Linked DNA regions of Xenopus tropicalis. The protein of the gene in region 2 purifies or fractionates together with the protein of the main gene of each other region. This does not show direct contact. Links are inferred from orthologs where the notes say so. Each region holds a gene or a part of one and is shown on either strand. Other genes may lie near its edges.

Region 1 (16,064 bases), on a different chromosome or scaffold from region 2:
GCTATGGTACTCACCACTGCCACCATTTCTGCAGCATTTCCCCTTGCACATCGTATAATGGGCACAGCACCTATAGTAGATAGTGTGAACATTATGAGACCTAAGCCTCTATATACAAGAGAACATATATAGCAGCCATCACCCTAAGAGACTTTATGTTAAAAGAACACATAGCAAGCATGTTCTATAAAACAATAGGGCTTTACTGAAATAGGTGCTAAATTGCACCAATGACATTACCAATGTAAACCAACAAGCATTTAGATTTGATTATACTGCAAGTAAAAGTGTCCATACACGGAAAGATTTAAGCTACTCATTTGGCCCCTTTAATTTATATGCCCATGGATGGGGCCCTCTGACACACCTAACCGACTGATATCTGACCGAAATTCAGCCAGATGACAAATCGGGAACGTTTGATTTTCCCACTGGATTGAGGACCCCATCAGCCCATTGATGCAATCCTGGCAGTCTGTATCCCACTTGCTGCAATCCAGTGGGCATATTGGGGAAAGATCAAATTGTTTGGTGACCTAGACCATTCACCATTATCCAGTGGGTAGCAAGGTATTTGTCCTGTGGGTACTGCACTTCTTGAATCACCACAAGAAAAAATAAAAAATAACATTGACACTACAAAATAACTGATGGGACTTTCATAGGCAGAAGGAAGATTATAGAATTCATGCTCCTGTCCTAAGGAAGTTTAACCCATGGAACCTATGTCCCCCAGTTCTAGGGAAGAGAAGTATGCTTTTTTAACTTATGCCTACTAAATATAACACTTTTTTGGCCTAGCAATAAACATATCTGTTATTAGGTGCCACTATGGCCTGCATTTTCTTAAAATGGCCCAATAAACCAATGTGCTCTGCACACGCTTGTTAATACCAAACTGGAAACTTCCTGCTCAGACAATGAAGAACATACCCAGTGTGACGAAGAAGCAGAAAAGGCTGTCAACAATTGTGTCCATCACTGTTTCCATTTCTGTGTCCGTGATATCAGATCTGTTTAAAGCTGGAGAAACAACACATTCAGATAAGTAAAAGAGAAAAATGGCCCAGTGCTTGAACTGAGGGGCTTTCAACTGAACCTCAGTCTGCAGTCAGTCAGCTAAGTGAGCTACACATCATGCTGAGCAGAGGGTCTAGATTAAGGCAAGAGTAACTTGTAATTTTGTGAACTTTATATGTCTATTATTTACTAGACTGCCCTTTTCTCCTAGATATCAATACACTATAATGAGTCATCTTTGTAAAACTTTTATGTATATATATACACTACTAATATACTGCTTGAACACATGGATTTTTTTTTTCTATTCTGGCCTGTTTATATGTTCCTGACTCCTAATTAGCCATCCAAGTTTCTAATTGGTTAATTACGTTTACATCAGCTAATTACTTTTGAAAAACCATTGGCTCCCTTTGTCTTAAATACTTTGTGTATGTCAATTCTCATTCAGCCAATGATTAAGTACCGTGAGGTACGAAACGCGTTAGGCTCTCTGTATCATGTGTTAGCTTAATAAAAGTTTTGTGATTTTACTTCTACTTCTCATGAACAATCGCTTTTCTTCACTGACAACACCGGAGTGCCTGCCTTCTCTCTATATTTAAGAGTAACTTGTAACTCACATAGGTAACTGCTAATTTCAGGGGCAGCTCACAGAAGTGGAGTTTATTTACCATATTACTTAATGTTTTTGAGAAATACTTTCATTCAGTTTTAGCAGCCTTTTACACTTTATACATTATAGTGCAGAAACATAACCAAAAACTCTGCACATGTAAATGGGCTAATTGCATCCCTTAGCCCTAAATAAAATCCCTTTCACTTACCCCGGTAAGACACCAGGTCCTTGTTTTGGTTACACAGCAGAAACATGTCATCCTCTAAAGTAATAAAATTCAGGTATTGGTCAAAAACCTGGTGGGAAACAAAACATAGAAATGAAACCCATGATAGTGTAACGGCCACTAAAATTTGTGAAAATCAGTCAGTTATCTATTGGGAAGCTCTGATTGGGCCTCCATTACTACCCACTCATTGGCTTAGGGGCCAAACCATCTATCAGTCTGAGCTGGTCTAGGTAATACGCACGTTTAGCAACCATACCATAACCTAGAGAGGACTCCAAACCACCCTAAGAAATGTGGCGCTTATGTTACCTTTGAGACATGAGACACAGTGTTGGCTGTTAATGCTGCACTTGCGATATCCTCTAGTTTGCTGCGAGAAATGGCGGAGATGAAGTTTAAATAATAGGACTCATACAACTGTGTCCTTAGGTCCTGCAATAAGGATGAAAGAATAAAGTATGTTTGGTACCATAAGTATAACTATACACCATTACAAGTTATTCACAAATTACATATAATCAAAGCATTCTCTCTTATTGAGAAATCTTGTTTCTGATTGGCGATGCTTTACATATATCTTAGGAAATATCAGGCATTCAGTACTAATTACCTGGCATATCCTGTCCACATTTTCCTCTGTGGGCATTACAAAATATACAGCGGGGACATCTGGAATAGCATCACGATCTGAATGTAAAAGCCTAATGGGAGGGAAGCCATGGAGGTTATCGCAATACTTTACACATGTTGGTTGGTAAACAGCAGAAGGTTGGATAAAGCCTTAACATGTTTATACAAAACCCAAACAAAATCATTGAAACCATTTTGCAATGGATAAGACACATAATAGAGACACTGTAGGTAATGGAATAATGTGATTTGGGGAATTTTGCCCTCAGTGCTTTAAAATGCCTTAAGGTACCATATGTGGGCCAATAAAAGCTACTGATGGAGTGTTGGCAGCTTATTGGCCCATGTATGGGGCCCTCCAATGGGCCTATTTGACTGATATCTGGCTTAAAGTAGAGAAAATGTTGAAGCAAAGTGATTAAGCTGCCCATACACGGGCAGATCCGCTCGCCTGGTGATGTCGCCAAGCGAGCAGATCTTCACCCGATATCCCCACCTATGGGTGGGCTATATCAGGGAACCTGTAGGCGAATTCGATCGTTTGGCCCTGGGGCCAAACGATATAATTCTAACGGCAGCAATGGGGCAGTCGGTTCGGGGACCGCATCAACGAGCCGATGCGGTCCCCGATCTGACTGAATTTTCTAACCTGGCCGATCGATATCTAGCCAATTTCAGGCCAGATATCGGTCGGCCAGGCCCCTCGTTTCTGCCCCTACACGGGCCAATAAGCTGCCGAATCGGTCCAAGGGACCGTTATCGGCAGCTACAATCGGCCCGTGTATGGGGACCTTAAATGCCAATTCTAAAATTCAGTGATAAGGCGAAGCCCAGCCTGAAACAGATTATCTTACAAATGTAAAGTGACTCCCATGTCTCTTAATTCCTTCACCGACAGAAGAGGAGAGATAATGTCCTGGCCAAATCGATCGTAAATAAGAACCTGAAGTGAAAGCAAAAAATAATATTAGATTTAATTAAAGAATTAGCTACAGGCAAAAATGTACCTTCAGTAACAAATACATTTTGAGGAAAGGCATGGTTCAGTCGTAGGGAATTAGGTTTCGGCTTGAGCAAAATTTCAGTATTTATCCAAAGCAATGTCCCAATCCTTAATTGTCAAGTGACTTTAATGCACTGACTTGGCTGCCAGTCCACACACAGGTCTGGTGATTATCACTAGAAAACTGTGCTGTTGCCCTTACCCTGTAAAATGATTTAAAAGGGACAGTACACACCTAAAAATACCTTTGCTAAATGAGAACAATCAATAGCACTGTTCATTTAATTAATAAAATCCACGTCTCCCTGTTTTTTACCATTACAGAGCAATAACTGCATTTTTTTTAACTGAATAGCTCCCCCCTTTTCCCATTATAAAAGGGGCAATTTGTTCAGAGAATCTGTCTTAGAACAAACAAAACCCTCTCCTCCCTAAGCTACAACCTTTGAGCAGCTGCTCGTCAGAACCAGGAAGTAACAGAAAGTGCTAAAGTGATACTGGTTTTGATTCTCTTCTTTAGTGCCAGAAATATCATAAGTTATAAATATTTCTTAATTAAAACAATAGGTATTTTCTGCAAGCAGTAGCTAGGAGCTCTCACCTTCCATACTGGCTCTCCTGTGCTGCTCTTTACAAGGGGAACATTGAAATTCAGCATACGCTTTAAAGCAACTAGAAAAACAACAACAGTAATTAATAAACCTACACTTACCAGTGTAAATATTTTAGGAAAACAAAAAAAACTCTTCAGTGGGTAAAAGATCAGTTCATAAGCTAAATAACATAAATTGTGCTTACATTAGCATTTCTCACATTATTGGTTCAACTTGACATTGGACATACAAAATTACACACAAAGCAACCAGTAACTGCTTGCAATCTATAAGGGAAAGGGGTTGAGACACAAGGTATGGGTCATGTATGCATTCTTTAAAGAAGAACAAAAAGGCACAATTACTGGGGCACACAAAGTTGTTAGGCACCCATAGTCATTCTAATTCCTTCCTTCACAAGTGCTCCTCTTCAAAAATGCCTCAGCCCAGGATACTTTTCCTGCATGCACTGACATTTTGCACTTTAAGGAGAAGGAAAGTCATTTTGGCATTTTACTGCCAATAGATTCGCCACATTAATGCCACCTACAACGCCATATTTATTCTGCAGAAAGCTTTACTATACCTGAGTAAACAGGCCTAGAAGCTCCCTCTGATAGCAGCTGCCATTTTAGCTTGGTCTTGGTAGCTTCCTGCTGTAGTTATAGCCGTTGGAAGCTAAGATCACACATTCCTAAGGGAGGGGGGAATGAGTTCTTATGCATTCTTATGGAAGAGGGTGCAGGAGAAGGGAGTGTGAGAGGGAGAGAGGGAGAACTGAGTAGACTCAAGCCCCAAACCTGACAGAGCCCTAAAAGAGAGGAAGTCTGATACCAAAGAACATGTTCCTAAAAAAGGAGACACAAAATCACGTGTTCTTTTGATAGAGGACTCAGTGCAGCGTTTCTGTGAGTGCTTATGGTTGTATTTACATAGACCTTTCTGATAAAGCTTACTTAGTTTTTACCTTTCCTTCTCCTTTAAGTTTAACACTGTGGGGTGTATTTATTAACATACAGTAGAAGACAAACATCCCTGGTAATGTTGCCCAAAATAACAAATCAGATCTTTGCTTTTGTTTTCTAACTTGTAGATGACCATTCCAATATCATTCCTGATTAGTTACTATGGGCAACATCATCGGTATGTTTGCCTCCATTATTAATAAATATGCCACTGTGTGTGTAGGTTTTTCACTCCTCAGGGTAGGCAGGGGTTGCCTGAGACACAGAAATGACATAGCAAACAGGTGTTTCCAGTTCTGCTGTCCAAACTCTTCTGCAGCTGCACAAACTGGCAGGGTTGAAACCACCGGGACCCTGCTACACCCATCTACGTATGACTGTTATCGAAAGAGGTCTTCATGCAAGAGTTGACACTAAAGCTGTTCATACACCAGCGGATCTTTCCCCGATATGCCCACCATGAGATGGGCTATATTGGATTGATATAATCAAATAACATTGACGGGATGCAGGGCATTGGGACAAAAACTGCATCAATGCACCAATGCACTCCTCGACCGAAGTGATTTTTAAACATGCCCGATCGTCATCTGGTTGTTTTTCAGCCAGATATTTGTTGGCCAATAAGATGCCACCAATAAAGCAATGTCTCCAAGGTGGAAACAAAACCAAACAGCTCAGCTACATGCAAAAACATGCAACATTTGGATCTAGTAGAAGGCATGGTGTCTGCTGGAAGACAGACAAGTTTTAGTGGACCAAGGAGTGAGTGCCATTTCTCTTCAAACTGATGGTGTCTGCTGGAGACACCAATAAATGCCACGCAGTGAAGTACTGAGGAGTTTCCCTGTGGTTTGGGGATGCATTTTCTTCAAATGGAGTTTGGTCAAAAACGGCACAATTACTGCTGGGAAGTACAGGCATATTCTTATCCATCACGCAGTACCATCGGGAAGGCATCTGATCTGTCCCAAATTCATTCTGCTGCATCACAATGCCCCTGAACACACAGCCAAAATCATAAAACTATTGGAAACAGAGAACAGGGAATCGTGCCACAGATAATATGGCCCCCACAGAGCCCTGACCTCAGCACCTTCGAGCTAGTCTGGCAGAAGCCAAAATATCCTGTGAGTACCTACATAAACTGCACGAAAATGGACCAAATATTCATTTCACATATTCTTTACTACTGCACTTTTTAGTACAGGTATGGAATCCGATATCCAAAAACCTGAAACGTCCAAATTATGGGAAGGCTGTTTGCCATAGACTCCACTTTAATAAAATAATTCAGATCTTTAAAAATAAGTTTCTTTTTCTCTATAATAATAAAACATTATCTTGTACTTGTTTCCAGATAAAATTTAAATACAGCTAAAATATAAAATATAATATATTGGAGGCAAAACAATCCTACTGGGTTTAATAATGTGTCAATTATTTTTTTTGTAGACTTAATTTATAGAGATCCAAATGACAGAAAGAAAACCCCACTTCCCTAGCATTCTGGATAAAAGGTCCCATACCTGTACTGTGTATCTATTTGTAGCAGCTCACATAGTGTTTATACATGATTTACACAAGCCCAACAAATCAGCCCGTGTTAAAGGGGATATTTTTTCCTTTTAAAGTCTCTATTGGCTGGGACTGACTTTATGCAACAGCTTCCTGTATCTTAACGATTCTTCTGCCATCCATCTGTGGAGCTTATTTGAACACCTTCCCAATATGCTTTATGCAGCCAACTAGTCATCTTTAAATGAAACTTTAGTATGATATAGACAGTTATTCTGATACAATTGATAATTGGTCTTAATTTATACATTTTTTTGTTGTTTAAGAATTATTGAAAAGAGGCAGAACAGAAAGGCAAATAATTCAAAACTATAACAAATAAAAAAAAAAAAGACAACATTTTTTTAAAAATAAGAAATTTTATAACATACAAGTTAACAAGGTAGGGTAGCACTGCTGCCTTACAGAACTGGTGTCCTAAGTTTAATTTTAGGCACAATCTGCAAGGAGTCGGGCAATACGGCCGGTCTCCTCCCCATCACATGCATGCTAAAGAGTGCACCCATGTGGGGTGTATTCATGGGGGGAGCGCCGCAGCTTGGGCAAGAAAGCCCAGACTAGGGGTAGGCAGAAGAAGTAAGTTCCACTGGAGCAATGAACCATGTATAATTTTTGTTAAACAGTGCAGAAATGTGTAAGTACTATATAAATAGCAGAAAATAAATTACTAAATAAATAAGGAGAAATCAGATGCCTATTTTCTTAGGGTGAAGACACACTGAGCTACTAATAGCAGCTACTTTTTCATGGCAACTAAACTCCAGAAAATACCCTGCCATAGACGGTACTGAGACTTGCATCTGCTAAAACACATGTAGAGACAATTATCAGTAAATGATCAGCATTGTCTATTTCTGTAGCCACAACAAGTAGCTGCTACTAGTAGCTCTGTGTGTCTTCACACTTACAGTTCAATAAGCACCAATTATAGCTGATGACACCAATAAGCACAGTTTATAAGAATATAATTTACAGGATATTTATGGATTGTGTGTTATAAACAATGAACCCGCCTGTATGTTTTGGAGTGTGGGAGAAAGTCCCTAGCACTACAGGGCAGCAATGCTAGCCTCTGCTCAGCAATTCTCATATTTTATTGTAATGAGCAAGGGGCACTGATTAAATGGTGGCCAAGCAAGGGAGTGTCTGGATGAAGATCTCTTGGTGCTGAGCTGTGTCAGGGCTATTTCATGTGATTTATATGCTGCCTGTTAATCCTTTTGCCCCTAATTTTTTGTCTTAGGTATTAGTGCCCCCTCCCACACACACACACACACACACACACACACACACACTTATAAACACTGAAAGGTGCCCTGCTAATCAGCTTTCATCAAAATGACGTGGGTGGTGTAAGTTTCAGTTCAGCAACAGCTGGACAGTCCCAGGTCTTACTGTGTGTCAGCCATTAGGAACGACATGTTAGTGTCATGCAACTCGTATAGGGAAGTCTAATCCCATTCGTACAATCACAACTTTCGGTTTCTGGCCGGTGCCTGATTTCCTTTCTCCGTTGCCAAATTCCGTTCTCTCAAATAGTTCGCTCTCTCTCCCATTACTAAATGCCCCTCCATCACCACTAGCTCTGTTTGCGAGATTCCCAGTTTTACCCCAGCATCTCCCAATTCTCACCCGTCTGCTTCTCCCGGATAGAAGCAGCCATCTTGGTCTCTCAAGCTCCGCCTCTCGCCCTGACATCAATAGAGGTGACGTGGCAAAGGAGCGAATGCCCTGCTGGCTGACAGCTGTCTCCAGAGCAACGGGGGCGGAGTCTGCAAGCCTACCGCTTATACTGGAAGCTGCTGTTGACTAACACGGAAGTCACGGTCTAATAGGAAGTGTGTGCCTGCGTTCCAAGCTGGTACAGGGCAATGGCATCTGTGATTTACCCAAGCCGCATTGTGCAGTACAAAATATATTCAGTTTAGAACAAGGCGAGAGAGAATGGTACCAGAAGTACTCAGGGCAGCAGGTTAAAATACCCTCAGACAGCTTTGCAGCTTGGGAAAACAACCTAGACTCGGACTAATCTGTTAAAGCTTTTGCACAGGCAACCAGTTATGTACCCAAGCTTCCCATGGTAAGGTGCCATACACACTCACTATTTATTGGGCTGTTTGGACCTCTGTGTAGTTTGCATCCCAGGCCTGGCCCATGGAGGCTATTTGGGCCTTTTTACTCTGTTGCACATTTGCTGGTCCAGGGCAACAGAAGAACTGAAAAGCATTAAATGGTAAGTGATTATAATCACTAGTGGGCACCTAAAATTTTGCAAGCTCTCTGTGATTTTAACTTTCCTTCTCCTTTAAAATGTACCATGATGGCAGTTAGGCAAGTTTATGGCCACTTTTGGCCTACAATACGAGTCCTAGTTTGGGGAGTATTTATTAAACACTGGAGGACAAACATCGCTGGTGATGTTGTTCATAGCAACTAATCAGCAAGTTACAAGTTAGAAAACAAAAGCAAAGGTCTGATTGTTGCTATGAGCAACATCTCCAGTGATGTTTGTCTCCATTGTTAATAAATAGGTCCCAGTGTGCAGATAGACAGTAAAGGTCCCCATGCACTGGCCGACTATAGCTGCCGATATCGGTCCCTTGGACTGATTCGGCAGCTAATCGGCCCGTGTATGGGGAGAGCAGAGCGGCCTGGCCGACCGATATCTGGCCTGAGATCTCGATCGGCCAGGTTAGAAAATCAGGTCGGATCGGGGACCGCATCGGCTCGTTGATGCGGTCCCCGATCCGACTGCCCCATTGCCGACCACATAATCCGATCGTTTGGCCCCAGGTCCAAACGATCGGATTATTTTATTTTTTTTACCTAAATGCTCCCCGATATCGCCCACCCGTAGGTGGGGATATCGGGGGAAGATCCGCTCGCTTGGTGACATCGCCAAGCGAGCGGATCTGCTCGTGTATGGCCACCTTTACCTGGCTCAGGATAGATTAGGGTTTACGTAAATACAAATAGATTGACCAGACGAGCACAGGGAATAACAATAGGGTTTGTTGCAGAAAACATTGATCTACATATTTTGGCTGGTTTGAGCTTTCTCACATATGCACAGCTTGGGGTATTTGTTTGAATGCAAGCTGAGACTGATGAATTAAAAGTCACATTACCTCTTTAAAGGAGAAGGAAACATCACTGATCTCAGCAGAAAAAAAAATTGTTCTGCAAGGCTACAAATTTATTGTTGTTTTCTATTGCATCATTCCAGTCTTTCATTCAAACCGTTGCCTGGTTGCTATGATAAATTAGATCTTAGCAACCAGATAAAAAAAATGAATATCAAATACAAAAATTGTATCAGATTATCATTGTCTACATCCTACTAAATCTTAATTTAGAAGTACACTACCCACTATATATGTCTGTAGTAATACTTGTTCACCCATTTTGTACAGCTCAGATAAATATATCCATGCCTTTTACTGACCAGTAAATAAAATATTCCTGCCTTCTACCGGCCACTAAGTATAATATCCCTCCCCTCTACTGACCACTAAGTATAATGCATAATTTTGAAAAATACATTTGCTGTATAACAAGCACATCAATCCCCTTGACTTTCCAGAATACCTATTCACCACTAGAAAGATGCTGACCACCCCAGGACTGTTGTGGACCATTTTGTTTGGTACAAAAGGGTTATCTTGTGGCATAACTTCCTGAAAGTTACTGTTATGAGGGAGAGAAAATAGCACTGGGTAAATGATATTGCCCATTGAACCACAACACTGATGCAGAGCTGGTCTGAAAGGTGCAGCAACCTTCTCAGAAGACAGAGGGAAGCCCTGTGCTTTTGTTTAATATCTTTTAATTTGTCTTTGAAACACCCATTCAAAGACTCTTTGGAAGAGTCTACCTCCAGGGGGCTTTAGCCAGAGATCAACACCAGAGAGCCAACATAGAGGTCACAACTATAGCTGCTTCACCTAGAAAATTCCCTTCATTAATTCTTTGAACGTTTACTTCTAGATCAGTGACTTTAATTTTACAAGGTAAAATGAATCAGAATCAGTGTAGAACATTGTTTCAATGTGTGTGGCTTGCACTGGGGACCCTAAGGCCTAAGCCACACAGGACGATTCTTGGCCTGCAGATAAACGCAGGTCAGTAACCAAGTCCCTACATCGGTTTCAGCCTTTCCCTGTGCCTTAACCCAGAGGCGTTGTGGTTGCCCAGGTGCAGAAATACTGAGATTTAGTTGCATTTTGCCGCCAAAACCTGCTTCATGTGTCTACACATGAATAGGCTGTTCGGAGTGTAGGGGCTGGCCGAGAATCAGCCGCTTGTGGCTGTAGCCTTATATTAAGTGGGTTCCAAACAACTTGCTATCATAGGACTGCAGCATACACAGACATAAAATGCTAAAAGCAGCATAAAGTGGGACACATTTATTGGAAAAAATTAAAACCCTTTGAATTAATTCTGTAAAAAAAACAAGTTAGGCAAGTTCAGGCTTTACCATAGTTTGATATAAATCGATTTAATTGCATTAACATTTAATTACAGGAAACAACCTATGTACATTGGTTATCAAAACAAGAAGAAAAAAAAAATAGATTAGTATGAAAAGTTTTTGAGCATTTTATGACCCTTGGCTGTAGGTTGTTCATAGTTGTTAGACACTTCAGTCTAAATAGAATTCTCAGAAATAACTACAGTTGTGCCTAACATTGTAACTGGATTGCTGCTATTCATGTCCCAGTATTAATACCGCAGTATATCAAATACAAGCTACAGCTCATAACTATAAATTATGTTGTAGAAAATGCAGTGAATGAATAGCTTTTACAAAAATACAGGAATAGGCATCTTCTGGTATTACAGTCATCATTCCACAAAAGTTTATTTTATAGAATCTCAAGAGACACCCTTACAAAGCCTCTCAGTAGATGGTATAACAGTATACCCTCTGCATATCGGAAATACTACAGACAATTGGAATTTAAAAATTCTTAAGTTGCACAGATTTTGAACAAGAACAAACAAAACAAAAAAAAGTATGAGGGATGTATACATAACTATGAGTGGTGACAATGTTCTGGGCATTTCTTCATAGTAAAAATCACAATGGCTCAGCCATATAGCTGCACAGACAGCTACAGTTACTCAGATAAATAAGATCCTATGTCTACTTCCATAAAGTGTGTATAATGCAAAAGGAATATGGGGGGGGGGGGCATACAGATTTCTACAAATTTTGATTTGTGGATGTCTTAACTCTGTCTTAAGCCTTATGGCTGCCTGCTAAAAACTATGTATACAAAGTCCTCTCCAATCAGTATGCTTTGTCCAGGACAGTTGCAGACCTCTCTATTATAAATAGCAAGTGTTGCCTTCAAATGCACACCAAGGCCTTTCCCCTCTGTCTCATATGGTTATAATGCATTTAATTATACCCTATAAGCTTTCCTTACTTTCAGCAGTGCAGAATGACACAAATGTAATAGGTCATAGTGATGAGAAACGGTTTTTCTAGGATGAGGACAAATCAATGGATTCTTTAATCAATATCAGTGTTAACAAAGAAAACACTGACATAGCATTAGGCAGCCTTGACTGGAGGTTCCTATATAAACACCACAATTCAGAAGTTTGTGGGAGGCTAGTACAATATAAAACACTGAGCCATGGAGAGATGCAAAAACACAACAATTTAGCACATGGGTCTTTACTGTGATTCATTTGTACATGAGTTCAGTGCACATACATTGCACGGCTGTATGTTAAACTGTGAGCACAGTCAACTGCCTGTTTAATGTGCATCACTTGTATGCATTTAACATATGTACCAGCACTGAAGTAGAATACTGACACCAAAGCAGCTCATAGCACAAACAGACCCTTTGACACTTGCTTGTATATACTTGTGATGTCTGATTTAACCAGCCACTAACATTGACATTAAAAATACCACCACTATTCAGCAGGTAAGAGAAAACTGGAATAAACAAAGAGGCTTAGGGAAAGGTGTCTTGCCCAGTTGAAGGATTACTCAATGAAAGTAAAAAATGACAGTCAAAAGGGTGCTAAAAAACGGATTTAGAGGTGTGTTAAAAACAGTTAAATTGATGAAATAGCACTAACAGCTAGCATTAAAATAAATAAATTAGCGAGACAACCCCAACAGACACAACGTATTTAACTGTAAGTCATAAACACAAAGGAAGAATGACACAATATCCCAATACTCTGTGTCCTTAATAAACGGAATACCCGCCTGAAACAGAAAACAGAGGCAGTTTGTACAGTATCAGTGTACTGTAGCATGCAACTAGCGACACATTCAAATATTTCTAAGGCAACTGTATGGCGTCCTAGACCCAACAAACATTAATTTGGCAAAAATAAGAAACACAGAACATATAAATATTTTACAAAGCCAATCTGTCCATTCAGATCGGTAGCTTAAATCAGCCTGCTTCCTCTCACAGTTTCCAATGGCCTGGCCCAATACAGGGATAAGGGAGTTTACTAAATGGCATTGTTACAAGCCTTCCAAGAGAGATTTTTTTGTTTAACCTCTTAAGTAGGAAGATCTGCAATGCACAGCAGAACAGATTTCTACAATGTATAAAATGTTAAAAGGCATTAAAACAAATCATTGCATTATTCATTTTTAATTGTAAGAGATAAACACTTCATTATTGTTCTGCTGAAAATAAGAGCTTAAACCTGTATGAACTATGGTTTCAACCAACTTCTTCTGGAAGTCACAATTTATAGAGAACTATACTACAAAATCCTTTTTAGTTTGATGATGCTCAATAGGGATGAAAGCAGAATGCCTTCCAGAAAAGGCAGCAATGATTTAAAAAAAAAAAAAAATCTCCTGAGGAAGTGCTTAGCTCAGCTTTTTCATCTCAGTATTGCAGGCAAAGATTTGTAAAATTGCACAGTTCCACGTCTTGTCTGGCAAAGAATACTGCTGGTGCCATTTCAAAGGCTCCGGAAGGTCAGTTGGCCTTTGTAGTTCAGTAAGAGGCCACAGAGCAAGTCACAGCAGCATTTATTCTCCAAGCAATGTTACGAAAGAAACAATCAAATGAAGAAGCCCAAGGCAAAAGTCTGCAACTATGCTTTGCACAGAAAGGTACATAATGCTTTGTTCATGCTTCTGGTGAAATCCAAATAGCTGGAGAAGGAAGGTAATTCCAGGCAGTTAATGTATTTGCGTGCTTTAGGCTGTGCCATTTGCTTAAACCGGATGGACGGTCGTGGATCGAAGCCTGCAGGCGGAACAGAGGGCAAACCTGTTGCAAAGTTCAGAATATCCTCCAAGGAGCATACAGTTGTCCCTTCTGCAAAAAAATGAAGTTTATGTTAAGATACTATCAACATAGAAAATGACACTCAAATACTGAGTGGTCCTTCAAAGAACTAACAACCATCACATGATATAAAACAGTGGCTTATAGGCAGGAATTATAGCTTAAATAAACAGTAACACCAAAAAATGAAAGTGTGTAAAAGTAACTAAAATATAATGTGCTGTTGCCCTGCACTGGTAAAAGTTGTGTGTTTACTTCAAAAAGTCTACTATAATTTATATAAATAAGCTGCTATGTAGCCATGGAGGCAGCCATTCAAAGGGGAAAAGGCACAGGCACATAGCAGATAACAGATAAAACACTATTGTATTCTACAGAACTTATCTGTTATCTGCTATGTAACCTGTGCCTTTTCTCCTTTTTTCCCAGCTTGAATGGCTGCCCCTGTGGCTACACAGCAGCTTATTATATAAATTATAGTAGTGTTACTGTAGCAAACACAACAGTTTTACCAGTGCAGGGCAACAGTATATTATATTTTTATTACTTTAAAGCTCTTTCATTTTTTGGTGTTACTGTTCCTTTAAATGTGTTAACTAAGCAAAGAAACCCTTTTCATATAGGGTCCACAGTTCTTTCAAAATGATTAGAGATCAATTTGGATTATTTAAAAATATTTCACAGCTAAAACACTAATGGAGAAAAGCCTTGTAGTTATATAGAAAGAACACTGGCTGCCACAAATTATTACATGGGATACATCACAGCTGGATTCCCTTGGAGGGGATATTTTAAATTCTGTTAAGACATCTATCCAAAAAAAAGTTGATCTTTAAAAGAGTAAATCTTTATCCATCTGAATGAAATTAACACAAAGAAAATCTGATAAGTATATTTAAATATCTGGTACATAAATTAATTAATTATTTGGGATAACCAGCTCTCCAAAATAAAAACAAACAAAAAAAAAAAACTCTAACCTTCTGTGTCTTCCAGATAATCTACCCAGAAGCCGAGAGCATCACTCTGCTGCTTTACACCGAGGTCTGTATGTGTCACAGTGAACAGGTCGGTCATGGATTTAGCAGTTAGTTTCTCTGGTCCCAAGACCAGGACACTCCAAAATATGGCCGGGTGAGCCTGGATCTTTTCTAGTACCCCCAGAGTCATTAAACCTTGTTTAAAGCTGAAAGAAAAATGAAATGGACAGCTGAGCAAATGTAAATATATATATATTATTATTATATAATATATACACTTTGAATTTTATACTGACATATAACCTTATGAAATATTAAATATTTTACTGTGTAGCAAGCAAGTAACTTACAATAGAGCACTTCTACATCATCAGAAATACACACATTTAGTACGGGACATTTGACGGCTACAAAATCTATTGCTCTCCAATCTGAGAACAGTTGGAAAGGTTAACTTGGACATCCCTTATCTATTAAATACACAGATTATTTGAGGAGCAGGACTGTGAAGACTGGCTTGCCATTTTGCTCTATAGCTTTACCTTTCTAGGGGCTGTTGTACCCTACGGATGACATGATGGGCCAATAATTCCTTGATTATCAGAACCTTATCGCTGACTGTTTGCACCAGGCGCAGGCTACCAGTCTTCTGCAAGTAGTCAAAGTAATGGATAATTGCAGATTTCAGTGTTCCAATTCTCTGGCAAGACTGGATCTGTAGTATGGAGAAAAAAATTAAAAAATGCAATATATACATTGCTATCTTGATCATGAAGCAAAAAGTAAATATTAACAAACAAGAGTTTCAAAGTTCAATGCATAATATACATACTATCAATTAACATTACACCACTAAGCATATAGAGAAAAATCAGACATGTGTGGATTTAGAAAACCCTGTTTCAGAACCAAGACCTTTGTCAACCTGAACCTTAAAAGACTCTAAACAGCCCCCCAAATTGACATACCTCTCTCCCTACATTTAGTCTGATATATTTTCTAACAGTTAGCTGAAAACTGTAGCAGTTTAGTAACTTCTAGTGTCTAATGTAAAGCTTCACCCTCTTTAATATACCATGGCGGAAGAATACACAGCAGATGACTCTGACATGCTGCCTATTCAAACAAGAAGGGAAGCACAGTAAAGGGGGTGGGCGTTCT
Region 2 (14,711 bases):
TTTATCAGATGTGGAAGTTGCAGTATTTAACACAACTAGTAAAAGCCATACATATTGTTAGCTACGTCCCCAATTCCTCATTAGGATGCCTCTTTCCTGATTTTCATAGTCTTGCAACATCGGTGGGAATCGTGAACCATTTTCAATGAAACTTCATATAGACATTACTTGGTTGTCTATGGACTGAATATTAAAGGTAAAGTAAACCTTCTATAAAGCGCTCCCACTACAACCCCCAGATACAAGAGGATGAGAACCCTACTAGGCGTCTTGCCTTAACACAGAGCTATTACTGTACAGTTTTCCCAACAAGATTACACTATAATAAAACACTGGGAAGGCAGATATGATGATGTTAAGATTTCTGAACTTAAAAAAAGTACTATAATGGTCCCAGGGCTGCTTTCTATGGTAGCAAAACAGGGAGCTGGTAGGAGCACATGGAGCAGGAAGGATTTCCTGCTGAAGAATCATCTTGCATTGGCCCTGGCGTCATGTTGCTTTTAGAATTTAGGCACTGCTAGAGCTACAGCTCCCAGCATGCCTTTAATCCTTGAGCGTATTTATTAAGATTGGAGACAGCAACCAATCAGCAATTAGATTTAACAGCTACAAGTTAGAAAACAAAAGCAAAGATCAGATTGGTTGCTATGGGCAACACCACCGGTGATATTTATCTCCAGTCTTAGTAAACAAGCAACAACAGCAAAACTGTTATGGAAAGTCTTCTGGTGAGTCAATAAAACTAATGAAACCTGACCTAAAGCCACCATGTTTTACCCATCATCCCATGGGGTCCTACTTCTTGCAGCACAAAGGAAAACCTTAAAACCTTAAGTGCTAAGCCTTCTTTACTGCACTATTTAGGGCCCAGGAAGAGATTCACAGATGTTCTATTGTCCGTTTCCTTCCGATCCAGTGTACACTTGGCATGTGTGCCCTATACATAATGGCAATGTGGCCCTTCCTGGCTTTTGGCCACAGACACCTAGGGACAACTCTCTCCCAGTGCACTAATTCCCTAAGGTGGTTGCCCTAACTATGTCCCACTGCACTTCCTGCCCTGGCTTTGTGACCAAGCACTATTTCAGCAAGTTGTACTTCAGGGTAATCTATAGAAAGGGTCTATTTCAGTGGTTTTGGTGCCCCTATCACCTAAGTTGTGACTAAGGTCACAAAGCTCCCATGATGCATATGGCACTTGTTACACAGAACTTATGGATCCACAGAGTATTTATTGCAATAAAATATGGCAATGTTTGGGATGTTGATAAGTCAATGAAGCCTAAATGTAAGAACCCTTGGCCTTATCTTTCTCTCTGCTGTCCTCCTGTCTGACATGTTGTTGCTTCCATGGGTCAGTGCTGGTAGTGGCTTTGTACATATCTTTTGCATTTTGTACCTTTCCCAGTAAAGCTTTGGAAAGGAGGGAGATGCGGGGATTTGGCCTTTTTACATTTGCTGGCAGGCAGCGGATTACTTGCTACTGACAGCTGAGTATGGAGGAATGAAGGGGTCTGTCATCCCGGCCTAATACAGATACAGGGTGACCTTTACCTGCCACACAGGTGGGGGGACTGCAAGGGAATACACATAATGTCTTGTTAGGGGAGGTGCACTTTCTATGAACGGCTGGGTTCAATGAATTGCCTCAGAGGACCTTACGGGTAGAAAGACTCACAGATGCCACCTTGCTGTGAAACTGTTGTAATACAGGAATTCTCCAGCCTGTGTGCATGGGTTTACTAAACATTTCCAGGAAAGGTAAGAGTTTACTTTTAATGAGGGCCATTTCCTTTTTAATATATGTTTTCATATAATTTTAGGCCAGTGATATCAATATGCCTCTATTGCTATAGAAAATGACACATAGAGTGTCTGTGTCTCTAATCTATCAGTTTTGCAGGAAGATATATTAGAATTTGCTGCCACCTCCTGGATAGTCTAGTTACAACAGCCTTCGAGAACACTGCTGTTTTGTTATATTCTGGGCTAACAGGTGCAATTTTTGCAATATTTAACCTTTGCAGACAAGGCTGACTATTCACAGCTGAATGAATTATTATCTCTGACTCTCATACCGCTGCTCAGGGCCATTTATGAACACTCCAGCACTCAAATGGACTCATATGCTGCCTGTTTTTAAAGGTACTTGGAGGTACCCTGGAGCAACTGCCACCCAGTAGGTGACAGGAATTCCATGGCTACCACTTTAATAGGCACAGTAGTAGTCTTGTGGCAAAAGAATCACACACTAATGCTGTTTTAACCCTGTAAGCTTGAAGAATCGCACAAGCCCATGCCATTGCGCCCATCTTTATGTATCAGGCACAACTGGGGACGGTGCAACTCCATGCACAGCCACATTTACGCTGGAATTTTAGGGGGGGGAGGGTGGAACTTTGCATTGTGGGTGAAAAATATGGCACTTTGCACAGTCGGATGCCAGTGTAAATGACCCTTCTAATATTTTGAGGGGACATGAACCTTCTATAAAACTCTTCCGTAGCTCTCTTCAACCTTACTGTACCTGTTATTTAGGAGCATTTCTAACTTATTCATTCAGAAAATGCTTTTTAAGCATGGCATTTCCACCTGGGCAACACATTCAGGGGACTCTTTAGATCTCACACCCAATTCTACTGAATATTAGCTTTTTGCTTGCACCCCAAAAAGTGGCAAATATTATAATATTTTGCATAGGGCTATAAATCCCCAAGCACCCCCCATTTATCATATCCATGAAGATAAATTCAGACGAGGCGTGTCGGATAAATAATAACTTTACTGCAACTGGTTTCAGTTGCGATATCCCACAAAATACTCAAAATTCACAATAAAAATATACATGTACAGTGGAGTGGAAAGGTGTGGGGGATGTGGGCAGCCATGGGCTATGAAAGGTAAGGGAGGCAAAGAAAAGCAGCAACATAATCACAGCACTTATTACCTCAAGAGAACGTCATAGGGCCAAGGATCCGACGAACATTATGCACATACTGGGGGAAGGCTGGGCCCCACAAATCCCATTGGCTCTTATCTAAGATACTGATGAGCAAACCATTGCGGTGTCCATACCCCCCCACTGTGGCCAGGCAGATTTCAGCAGGGCATGCAAAGCCTAAGCCTGTGATCAAATCATTAGTGATCCCTGCACTAGGGCATAGCGATCTGTAACTCTTTCAACAATAGTATATAATACAGTGTCTTATATAGTGTCTGGGCCTTGAATTTAACAACTTTCGTCCATTAACCTAATGCACTACTGCATGGTAATATAGCTGTCTATTTCTGACCCCCTTATATCTCCATGGAGAATTGTGCCTAGTATGGAGGCATACATATACTAGGGCAGAGAAGTAATCTTTTTATATTTTTGCTGCAGCCCACAATAAAATCCTACCACCCTGCTGGTCAACTTTTCCCTCCGCCAGCTAACTTCTGGCAATAGTACAATCCATTGTACAGGCAATCGTCTTTATTTGCTTCCAGTGTAGCAATACACTTGCAGCAAACAAAGATTTCCTGTGACAATGGCAGTTTAGACAAGGCTGAAACTGCACCTTCGTAGAAGCCAGGGGGAAACAAAACAAAAAGGGAAATTGTTTCATTTTTAATATTTCTATTAGAAAAATACATAGGGTAAAAATAAAGTTATCGCGGCCCTTTAAAGGTTATCTGAGAAGCTTACCAATTACCATCTCAGAGTTACAGAATACCTATTGAAAGACAGCAGTGGATCACAGCCTGCTTTGGGCATTTGTAGTTCAGGAAGCTGATAGAGAGGGAAGTATTGCGACAGCTTCGGACGACGGACAAGAAGGTATTTATTAAGAACATGCACCACGTGACGGAGAAATCACAGAGCCAGCAGCACAATTCGAGAATCCAGCCTTCCCTGGTAGAGCTGCACTTTGGGGAATGTTTAACGTCTTAATGTGGTAACGGCTTCAATGTTCACTTCCATCTGGGAGAGACAGTATGTTAGTCATAGCCACGATGGACGGGCTCTCTTAAAAGAAAGAAGGCAGAAGAGAGAAGTCTTCAATGATTACTTAACAAGTCCAGTTGCTTTAGATTTATTTATACTAGATAAGGCAGAAGAGAGTTTCTGCTTAGCACAACTAATAATTACAGGGCTCCACGGCTAGAAACAGGCAGACAGTTAAAGAATGCTGGATACATTATGTACATCGTCATTCAGCAGTATCATGTAACCCCCAAATACCATTATCTAATCATTTTATACATAAAAGAAGATTCTGGGGGAATGGAACTTGCGAAAATAAGTTGAGAGGTTTGGAAGTTGGTTGTAAGTTGTGAGTGAAAATACTTACGCTGCCTCTTCTTTGAGAAGAGCAAGGAACTTGCTAACCCGGTATTCTGGATCCATCTGCAAAAGCAGGTAAAATTAAGCATGCTAAAAATAATCTTTAGTCATTGCAAGCATCAATGAGGGAGGCAAGTATACCCGCATCAGCATTATACAGAAATCTAAACCATCGGCTCACCACTTACCTGCATGGACATCTCAATAAGCATCAGCAGTTTTTTGATTCCAATATACACTTTTTTGCCTTTAACTTGTTGAGCGATTACTGATCTTTCGTTGTCCTTGAAACCTCCCAGGAGCTGTTGAAACAGGAAACAAAGAGTCAACAAAGTTTGTTATGATGGTGCCAATGTGGCTGGTTAAAGATACTCAGGTTCAAGCATATTAGTTACTAGGATGTGCTTTGTAGAGGGAACAAGGCTATAAGCCAACATTATGGAGGTTGTTTCCACAGCCCGTCTTTCCAATTACTGTTTTCTTTTGGTTTTGTACATAACACAAAAAAATAAATCCCCCCCACCCCGTTATGCCTTATGCCATATCATTGCTCCATGCCATACTCCAGTGATTAAACCACTCCTGTGCCATCCTATAGTTTTAGAAATAGAACCCCACACTAACAGGGCTCTGTGAATATTTAAGGAGAATTATAGGAGATGTCAGACCAATGTATCGGAAGTGTTATTGCACATTCCTCTCATAATAATTCCACTGCATACATAGAAATGCAATAATGTTAAAAAATATTCGAATCTGAAGTGCCCTATACTGGCAATAATACTTTTACTTCTAGATTTAGGATCTACTGTTGAGTCTCCTTTCTAATATTTTGACTCTAGTTTTGTCTAACAGCCAGGCCTGGACTGGCAATATGCGGATTCGGGAAATGCCAGACAGGCTTAAGTAAGATGCCATAGACAGTAATTATGGAGTGGGATGTCAGGGGGGCTATTTGGGCCTCTGTGTACTCAAAATGGCCAGGTCTGCCAAAAACAAGGCAATTTAGCTAAGCACACACCTCCCCACTTGAAAGAACACAAGTCATGACCTCACCTCTAAGGCTTCCATGAGTTGTTCACCTGTGACGATATTTGGGACACGAATGGTTGTGCTAAATGCATCAAGCATTTCCATTTCCTGAAGCACATCCTTCCGGCTGGTGGTGCCAATAATTAGCAGCTTGCGACCCTTTAGAAAAGTGGTAGAAAGAAGGATATCAATGGTGAAAAGTATATTATATTAGCGTTTGTATTAGTTACCAAACTTTAGCTCTTTTACCTGAGGAGGGGCCTTCTTCAAAAGGACAAGTAGAGCCTGCAGCACTAGGTTGGAGAAGCGAGGACCAATAGGGACATAATCTGGCAGGAAAAGAGGTAAATTAACTACCTATGATACATAATAAACAATCAACAATTGGTAAGGTGAACACCCTTACCTAGGAGCCTCTCAATGTCATCGACCACGACACAGCTCAGCTGTGATTTGTACGCATCTTCAAAGATCTGGCAATGGAAGGAAAGCACTTCTTTACAAAAGCAGAATAGAAAGGGAAAAGGCAAAATAAAAGGGGGGGGGGTTTTAAAATGTGACAGATAGAAGCTGATATGTAAATCATGGGGCAAAAAAAAAAAAAGCTTTAATAGTGAAGCAAAAAAACATTTTTATTTCTCACCTTCTTTATGGCCTGGCACTTGGCTGTCTCAGAGAACCCAATCATCTTCTCCGGTGAGCAAATCTTAATAAAAGGAAAGTTAGATTCCTCTGAGATCTTGGCAGCCAGGGCTGTTTTGCCACTATGTGGAGGTCCTGTATAGATAAATGCAAATATTGCAGTATTTAATGGCAGTTTTTTTTACATATCAGCACACTCTGTTTAATTTCATGGCATTTACAAAAGATCTTCTTTTGGCCCTTGGTACCGAAAACTGTGAGAAGGTTATGGTAAGAATGAGGGTAAGATTTGGAAATAGCACTTTGATCTCCTAGGTACTCTTAAAGAGGTTATTCAGCTTTAAATTAACTAGTGCTATTCTGGTACAATTTGCCTTTAATCTTCATTTTTCATTATTTGTGGGTTTTGAATTATTTTGTTTATTTTCAGCAGCTCTTCAAATTACCCTAGCAACCAGGCAGTGGTTTGAATGAGAAACTGGAATATGAATAGGAGTGGGTCTAAATAGAAAGATAAATAATAAAAAGGAACAAAAACAATGAGATTGTAGCCTCAATTAGCAATCAAATTTGGCTACCGGGGTCAGTAACCCCTTTTGAAAGCTGGAAAGAGTCATAAGAGCAAGACAAATAATTCAAAAACAATAAAAAAATAAGAAGATGACCAACTGAAAAGCTGCTAAGAACTGGCCATTCTATAACATACTAAAAGTTAACTTAATGTATTCTAGCTTGAATTTCAATCAAGTTGAGATTTGGCACTTATTTGCTGTCTGAGGTATTCCTGAAACTGTGGTTGAATCACTAAAAGAGGAGCCTCAACAAATGTAGGTCCTGAAAGAGTAAATTGAACCAAAAAGTTCCTTAATTTCTGTCATAGGCCGTCATAACCATCTCTGCTCCACTAAGCTCTCACCTTCAAGTAAAACGCTAACAAGTGGAGTACGATCACTGTTTTTCGTTTGCTGGACTAACAGCTCTCCATCATCAAGAACCCGAGTAACAGGGTCGCCCCATTTAATAATGCCATTCATAATGTAGCTGGCATAGTCCTCTTGGTTTGTTCCAAAAGCCTAAAAGGAGTTTAAAAAAAAAAATCAAATGAACGGACAGTCAAAATACGTTGAGGTTCAATTTAATGCATATAAAATTGGAAAGAAGTGTAGCTTGGTTTGTACTCAGTTCGTTCATTCTTAAAATTCAGGAACTATAACTGGAGTTAAAGATTGTTGTTGAGTTGCTCGGTGCAGGGTTTCATTCAGTGTTGGCTTTTCAGGCAATAAACTCATATGGGAGTAGCTTAGTAAATCTATAGACCACTTACAGGTTTTATGTCATTCCCTAAAGAAGTGAAGAAATCGCCTTTTGTCACTTGCAGGCGTTCTGCCTTTTCCATATCAACCTCCACTTTGTTGGTTGCCTGAGAGGAAGAGAGGTTGCAATTAGTACCAAGGAGATGTAAGAAATGTCACATCTTGAATACAGATAGGATATTGTTGCACAGAGATCATAAACAAGGGGTTTAATGATCTACAACACGGTAGATAAGTGTTTCTAGTGAATTGTAGTACAAGGGAAGTCTTATGCTTAGAATAGTTATACAGGATATTCTGTAGTGCCTATAAGTAAATACAGGGGTTTATTCCTGTTTTAGTTATGCTGTAGTTATGTCTATAGTGGCCATGTTTGGTTGCTCACACTCACAACATAGCATGCCCAATGCTGGATTCTCATAGAGGTAATACAGAACAATGCAACATGGGCATGGAAAAGTAAGGCTGTTGTGATGGTCTAATATCTTCTTAATAATAGCCACAGTTAGACAGAAACTGTCACTGTTTTAATTACTAGGGAAAGTAACAAGTGATGATTATTCTGCTGTGTAGCGATGAACAATCTCATGTGCAGGAACCTTTTGAGCATTTCTTACACCGTAATACAATGTTGTATATTGCATAGCTGGTTATAACATAACCTAGTCTGTGCTGGCTCAAAGGCTCAATGTTGTGCTGTATGGGTGCCAGCGGCACTTGCGTCTCACCTTGATGTGCCGATTCATAGCTGTTGACTGGGCTGCCCTCACCAGCCCCTCCAGTTCTGCTCCAGAGAAATTTTTGGTTTCTTGTGCCAGTTCACCAACATCCACATCTGATGAGAGAAGACTGTGCTCCCTCATCCGAGCTGTATGGATGTGCAATATCTGCAGGCGACCCTTCTCGTCAGGAAGCCCTGGAAACATGAGCAGAATTCATAAAAATGTCTAAATAAATATCTGCAAAACACTTATTACAAGCTTTCATAGCAGAGTATTACATGTATCCAAACAGATACAATTACTGTAAATCAATGAATGCTGACTCACTCAGTAAGATAATAGTGTGTGAATCTAAATGCACTGAAACAGCTGTCAGGGTCAGGCAAAATGAAAGTTCTAGACACAATAACCAACGGAAATACTTTCAGCAACAGCAATCATTGCTGGGCACTGCAGATGTAAAATGAACATCTATCGGATATCTAGAATATAAGCACTCCACCAGAACAAGCACAGCAATCTGTAGCAAATCCCAAATCACAGGTAATTTTAGAGGAGTAGCTGCCACAAACTAATTTGGGCCTGTACTGAAACATGCGACCTACCCCATGTTTCTAAATAGGCCTATAATTTGTCTGTTAGCCTGTTACATGGAAGGCACAGATCTGACTAAGTATACTTTTAATGCAAAACATGGGCTAATGGTTGACTAACTTACCAATCTCCATCTTCACTTCCAATCTTCCAGGTCTCAGAAGAGCTTCATCTATCAGATCAGGCCTGTTAGTCATACCTGGGTAGGAGAAACAGGGAAAGAAGGTAAGTCAGACACAATAAGGCAGCACTGTGCCTCCCCTGTACATAGAAGCTCTTCCCCAGCATCTTACCAATCACTAGAATGTTGTTGAGCTGCTCCACACCATCTATCTTGGACAGCAGCTGGTTGACCACAGTATCATGCACCCCAGTGCTGCCAGCCATGCTACCTCTTTGCTTGCAGATGGCATCTATTTCATCAAAGATGATTATGTGCAGCCCACTATTGGCACCCAGCTGAGGCACAAGAAAAAAAAATAATATCATGGCAAAAATGTACAACTGGTTCCATAAAACATACAAATAACACAATTCAGAAGGTGTCACCTAGCGAGCCCTTCCCCCACATTACCAACATGTATGCTCCATTTCTAAGGGCAACAGAACTAAATAATAAAAAGGAGCAAGAAAAACACTATTCACTGCTTATTCCCTATAGGGAACCTTACCCTTCTCTGTTCCTCCTCTGCGTCTGCAAAGAGTTTGCGGATGTTTGCCTCTGACTCTCCCACATACTTGTTCAGAATTTCAGGGCCATTCACCACTTTGGGTTCCCGGGCATTCAACATTTTACCGATCTGTCGAGCCATCAGGGTCTTGCCACAACCAGGTGGGCCAAACAGAAGAATGCCTTTTACATGCTTGCAGCCTGTAGGAAGGAATAGCTGCCTCAGACTTCCGTTTTAATGGGGAACATTCAGGTGGGTATTACCAAAGTAGAAATAGTGATGTAAGACCCACAGCCCCCCAAAGATGCTCTGAGATACACTGACAGCATGAAATGCACTGCATATTTCTGTATCTTAGGGAGCCTTTGATCTACACTGCAGGCAAAGGGCAGCCTAATTTCGACTCATGGGTTAATACTAGTCTTCAAAATATGATTATAGGACACTCTTATCTACAATACTGGCCTATCAGCCAGCATTCAGGAAAATTACTAGGCATCATGCGCAAACATATCATGCGCAAACAAGATACTGATAGGAACATAGTAAATTAACTGTCTGAAAGAACAATGGTAAAGATGCAGACCTTGGCACAGCTCAGCCCTTATATGTGTCTCTGCTGGCAGCTAAACTTGTTCCTGCCTTGTACACAACCTTTACAGTTACTGCCTATCTTTGTAAAGCTCTGGGAAGATTAGAGGTGGGAGAAATGGGGATTTGGCCTTTTCCATTTGCTTTTTTTTGGCGCACAGGGGATTACTTGCCACTGGTGACAGCTGTGTGTGTCAAGATATGAAGAGGTCTGTCATCCTGGCCTAATACAGTTAGAGGGTGACCTTTACCTGCCTCACAGGTGGCACATACCAAGAGACACACAGGCAAAGCACTAGTCTCAAAGAAACAAAAGCACTATAGGAAGCATCTTGACATGAATGTGATTTCAAGTTTATCTATGGATGTCTGCATTCAGACATTCAGTTGGAGGCTTTAATGGCTGCACAACTAGAACCGTGTCTCCCACGGAGAAATGAAATCCAGTGCTTCTGCATGTGCTGAATAGCTTTCTGGTAAGGTCACTATGCCCCTTCACAATGAGATTCACTGCTACTATTGTTGGTTTGTGCCCACTGTCTTCCAAATGCTGTTGGCACAGTGATATAGGACATCATACCCATTTGCTCCACAATCTCTGGTGGGAAGACTCGGGAGGCAAAGGCTCTTCTGAAGATATCTGAGAACTCCTTGTCCAGCCCTCCAATGCCCATCTTCTCAAAATTCCAGTCTGGGTTGATTATAGATTGACGGTCCTGCCTTGTCTTTGATTTGCCTAAATAGATGGACAGAAAGATGTTTTTGTAAAAACGCTAGCAGCTCTACCTGTTTAAATAAATAAATATTTTAAAACTACATGTTCATTGGGGAAGCAACTTTCATTGCCTTCCTAATGTCCTAATCTCTGCCCCTTAAAATCCCGTTTAATGGGAGGGACTAAATGCTACAGACATTACCCACTCAGAAGTGTAGCATTATCACTGTGAAAAGGAAGAACCAACAATATTAGAAAGGATCTGTGGCTAAATATGAAATAAGGAACTGCATTCGATACAATGAAACATTACATATGAGCATTTGGAACCTCGGGGGGTTTTCAAACTAAGCAACATATTAGGGGAATAGAGCAACTACAGTAAATAATCATAATGTCCTACCCCGAGCTCTGACTCTCCAGAGCCCAGCACAGTAATATAAAAAGCAGGGGGTTGGGGATAACCTGTGCTGGTAGGATTCAATGTGGATGACTGAGCCTCCTGGAATAAAAATGAACCCCCCTGCAACCAATGGATTTGCACACCTGCACAACCCAAACAATGGGTGATTGCCTGCAGCAAGGTGGGATGCAGGACCCGCAAATTTAGTGCATACAGAAAAATACAATAATTATTTACTCATCATGGAAGACCACCCTATGGTTTGCTTGAGTTGTGAGCAGTGTCCTGTTCCCTACGGCAGTCTAAAAGAACTTACCTGTGAGATTCAGAGAAGAGCTGTCAGCCTTCTCAAACACCACCTGGCTGTTCCCAACCACCAGTCCAACTTCTATCTGTAGGAAATAGAAATGCATGAACAGTAACAAATTAAAAATCTGTAAACACAGCACAAAGGTATAAATCAAGATTTTTGGCTACAGTATCATTTTCTACCTAATATGCACTATGGCACCAATCCCCAGGAACAATGCCTACAGCACGAGGCACTCAGGCTTAGAGTGTCCCTACATTCGCCACCTGAAAGGGGTACTTCAGCTTAACATATTTACAGTACAGCTAGCCAAAGGCATGCACATGCGTGTGAGAGACAGCTGACCATCCTAGTCTTTAATGATATATGTACAGTTATGAGTGTGCACATATTAAGGCAATAAGAGGAAGAGAACGCTGAGAATTTGAAATGTTACAATCTCACATTTCCACCCACTTATCTTTACAATATGTGCAAATATCGCATTTGTATTTGGTCTGTGGATATGATGTAATGGCCTTACCTTCTGCCTCTTTCCTGTTGACTGTTCTCCCTTTAAAATGCTTGGATCCATGGCCTCTATGTCTTTCACCACTAACCCAAAAAGCTTGTCATTGAAACTAAACACCAGCTGTAAAAAGGGAGGAGGTAACAATTATACATGCGTACTTTGTGAGAGTAGAGATGCATACAGTGTGCAAAAATGTCCTATAAACAGTGAGTTCAGATGTTTATTGACATCATTTTGAAGTCATCATTTTGCTTCTAATATTGTAAAAAAGCCAGAGCTTTTGTAAAAAAAAATTATTATAAATCATTACAATGTAAATCTAATTTACTGATTACTGGAACACAGACTTATTTTCTAAAATAGGTGAGGACAAACTGTGGGAGAGAAAAGTGAGAATGGACAAGAGAAACAAGAGGGATAATAAAAAGAGAAAACACAGAGAAAGCATGTCTGGTGCAAACATTAAGAAAGTAGGGAATGGCTCGGGTTTCCATTAAATATGGCCTTCATACTACTTTATACTTCCCTATAAAAAACATTGGCATCAAGGATAACTTACAACCTCAGGAACAATACAAGGCAACAAGTATAGAAATGTTAAGAAAATCCAGAGCTGGAGCATACAGATTGAGCCAAGCAGCACTATTCATGTAGATATAGACTCAGGGGTGGGTGGGAGAGCGGAACATGGCAGGGATATAACCCACCTGCTGGCCAACGGAGAAGGCCTGGTTGTTGAACTGCTGAATGAATTCTGCTGCCATTCTGTCCGTGTCATAAGGGTTGGAATCAATGCTCTTCTTCTGCAGGAAGTCGATCTCTATGGTCATGGTGCCAATGCACTGCTTGGTCTTGTCGAAAGTATATACCCCGACTGAAACAGAGAGATAATATATAATTAGGAGCCTTTGGAGCTATTCAGCAAAGGCCTGCATGGGGACAATGTACTTTCATGCACAATCAAATTCTTTATGGAGACAAAATAGCTCTACATGATCTCTTTGCTATAAAAGCTGATAACAACGAGGGCTTGTGGCTTCTGTGAGACACAATGTTCTTCAGCTTCATATTGGAATTACACAGTTCACAGATTACAATGCTGTTCTAATGCAACCTATAAAAGAGATTCCCATAGAAAAGCTTGTATGAGAGAAAGTAATGTTTTTATTATGGCCTTTTTACCACAATAGGTCAATGCAGAAACTTCTACAAGAAATACCACATCTCTAAGAACCTCTAAAAAGAAGCAATATCTTCCGTTAAAGACAACTTCATCAGACATGTACATCAATTCAGATAATTCTATTCCAACATAACTTAAATACACACTGAAATGTTAGGAAAACATATTGGTATTTTATATAAAAAAAAATAGAAAGGTCTTAGGCCAGGGTTTCATAAACGTTGTAGGGTTTGGTCAGGCAGTTCTCTTGCAGTTGTTGGAACAGTTGTGCTAATCTTGAGCAACCAGACCAACAACAGTATTGCACCTTATTTTTACAGTCGCCCCCTAAAAACAAAGTGGCAAGTATATATGTCAAGCGGGACAGCTACATTTGTATTCCTTGTAAAAGTGGACCTGACCAAACTGGGTCTGATAGCCATGTTCCCAGGGCCACTTTAAGGTACCAATGGCCTTGGGCAAAGAAATTTGTGATCGAATAATTCTAAAGCACACGAAGTTCTAAATATTGTAAAGCAGACGGTGAAATGGTCTGTGCTTACGAAAGTAGATATGATGACCAGGTGTGCCGCCCTGGACCAACAGCCCTGGGAGCAGGAAGATACAAAATGGCAATGCCGCAGGAAAAAAATACAAAGATATTAAAATAACCATACCATAGAGCTCCTTCAGTTGATTAAAAGGCGGCAAAAGTTATCTCGGACAAAAGGTGTGCTAGTGGGCCCCCTCTCCTGGTGGGCCCTGGGCAAATGCCCCCTTTGCCCATTTATTAAAACAGCCCTGCATGCGTCCTGATGCATCAGGAAACACTACCTGACCATATTCTTTAAAGTACACATGGTTAATATTAGTTGGGAAGTTCAAAGGAAGAAAGGTGTTAATGAGAAGTGCTGGGAGATAAGGACAAAAATAGCAATATAAGTCTGTATTCTTATAGGAAGTAGAGAAGGTGGGAAAAGTGCTTGAGAAAGGGGCTGTAGGTGGGATATTGCTGTACATCATTTGGCACATTAAGTTACAAGTGAATACCCACTCCCATGTATATTCTAGGGAACTTTAACTCATTACATCACAAAATCTCCCATGCCTTTAGCCAACAGGACTAACACTAATGAACCTCACCGAAATATGGAAATGGAAAATCCTGGATCTTACCCAATATTCCTGTGACTCCGTAATGCATAAAACAAAATATATCGATCACTTCTTGCTATATGTGAACCTGAGGATTGGCTGTGGAGACTTTGGTGAGCCAACCCCTCAGTACTACAAGCTAACTCCCTAGAATATAAGAATTACTGGGATCTTAATAAAAGCACTGCTACCATAACTGCCTGCTGGGAAAAATCAAAGGTGGGGAAGAGGGAATCAGATTAATGCTATCCAACCTCCTCTTTCCAAAATTTGAAAATAAACCGAGGTCCCACTTAGAAAAAAGAAAGTCTGTTCGGTGCTTTATCCTGACATGAATAAAGATGCTTGCAGCTCTCACCCAATAAGTCCACCTTGCAGGACTGTCACATATTCTTTAAAAAAACAAACTCTGTAATTGCCATATATAAAAACCAAAGAGTGAAAGTGCAATGCAGTGCAATAGCAACACTCTGGGTAGATTACCTACTCACAGACGTGGGAGATATATGAGTTAAACAATTACATGAAGTCTCCAAAAACATTCAGGATAAAAACAGGAA

Evidence for each region.
Region 1: the proteins of nsf (region 2) and scfd1 purify together in Homo sapiens (affinity purification with mass spectrometry; 3 studies listed by BioGRID and IntAct, with this or other methods). This does not show direct contact. The link is inferred for Xenopus tropicalis from reciprocal best matches to the Homo sapiens genes NSF and SCFD1.

What each region holds. Positions count from the first base shown.
Region 1 is NC_030684.2:113,040,215-113,056,278, reverse strand, and holds the start of scfd1 (sec1 family domain-containing protein 1), read right to left. Parts: upstream 8,340-16,064; 5' UTR 8,301-8,339; coding exon 8,270-8,300; intron 4,174-8,269; coding exon 4,103-4,173; intron 3,442-4,102; coding exon 3,353-3,441; intron 2,570-3,352; coding exon 2,479-2,569; intron 2,301-2,478; coding exon 2,178-2,300; intron 1,936-2,177; coding exon 1,848-1,935; intron 1,024-1,847; coding exon 934-1,023; intron 71-933; coding exon 15-70; intron 1-14. Other genes in the region: g2e3 (G2/M phase-specific E3 ubiquitin-protein ligase), read right to left, coding at 13,727-13,953, 14,904-15,109, 15,446-15,618. UniProt on the Homo sapiens protein: Plays a role in SNARE-pin assembly and Golgi-to-ER retrograde transport via its interaction with COG4. Involved in vesicular transport between the endoplasmic reticulum and the Golgi.
Region 2 is NC_030686.2:15,509,236-15,523,946, forward strand, and holds the end of nsf (vesicle-fusing ATPase), read right to left. Parts: intron 12,709-14,711; coding exon 12,542-12,708; intron 11,955-12,541; coding exon 11,847-11,954; intron 11,406-11,846; coding exon 11,330-11,405; intron 10,632-11,329; coding exon 10,476-10,631; intron 9,505-10,475; coding exon 9,305-9,504; intron 9,093-9,304; coding exon 8,927-9,092; intron 8,833-8,926; coding exon 8,758-8,832; intron 8,234-8,757; coding exon 8,046-8,233; intron 7,425-8,045; coding exon 7,329-7,424; intron 7,078-7,328; coding exon 6,921-7,077; intron 6,140-6,920; coding exon 6,006-6,139; intron 5,836-6,005; coding exon 5,769-5,835; intron 5,692-5,768; coding exon 5,612-5,691; intron 5,522-5,611; coding exon 5,387-5,521; intron 4,633-5,386; coding exon 4,519-4,632; intron 4,394-4,518; coding exon 4,338-4,393; intron 4,013-4,337; coding exon of another isoform or gene 3,985-4,012; exon of another isoform or gene 3,968-3,984; coding exon 3,958-3,967; 3' UTR 3,601-3,957; downstream 1-3,600.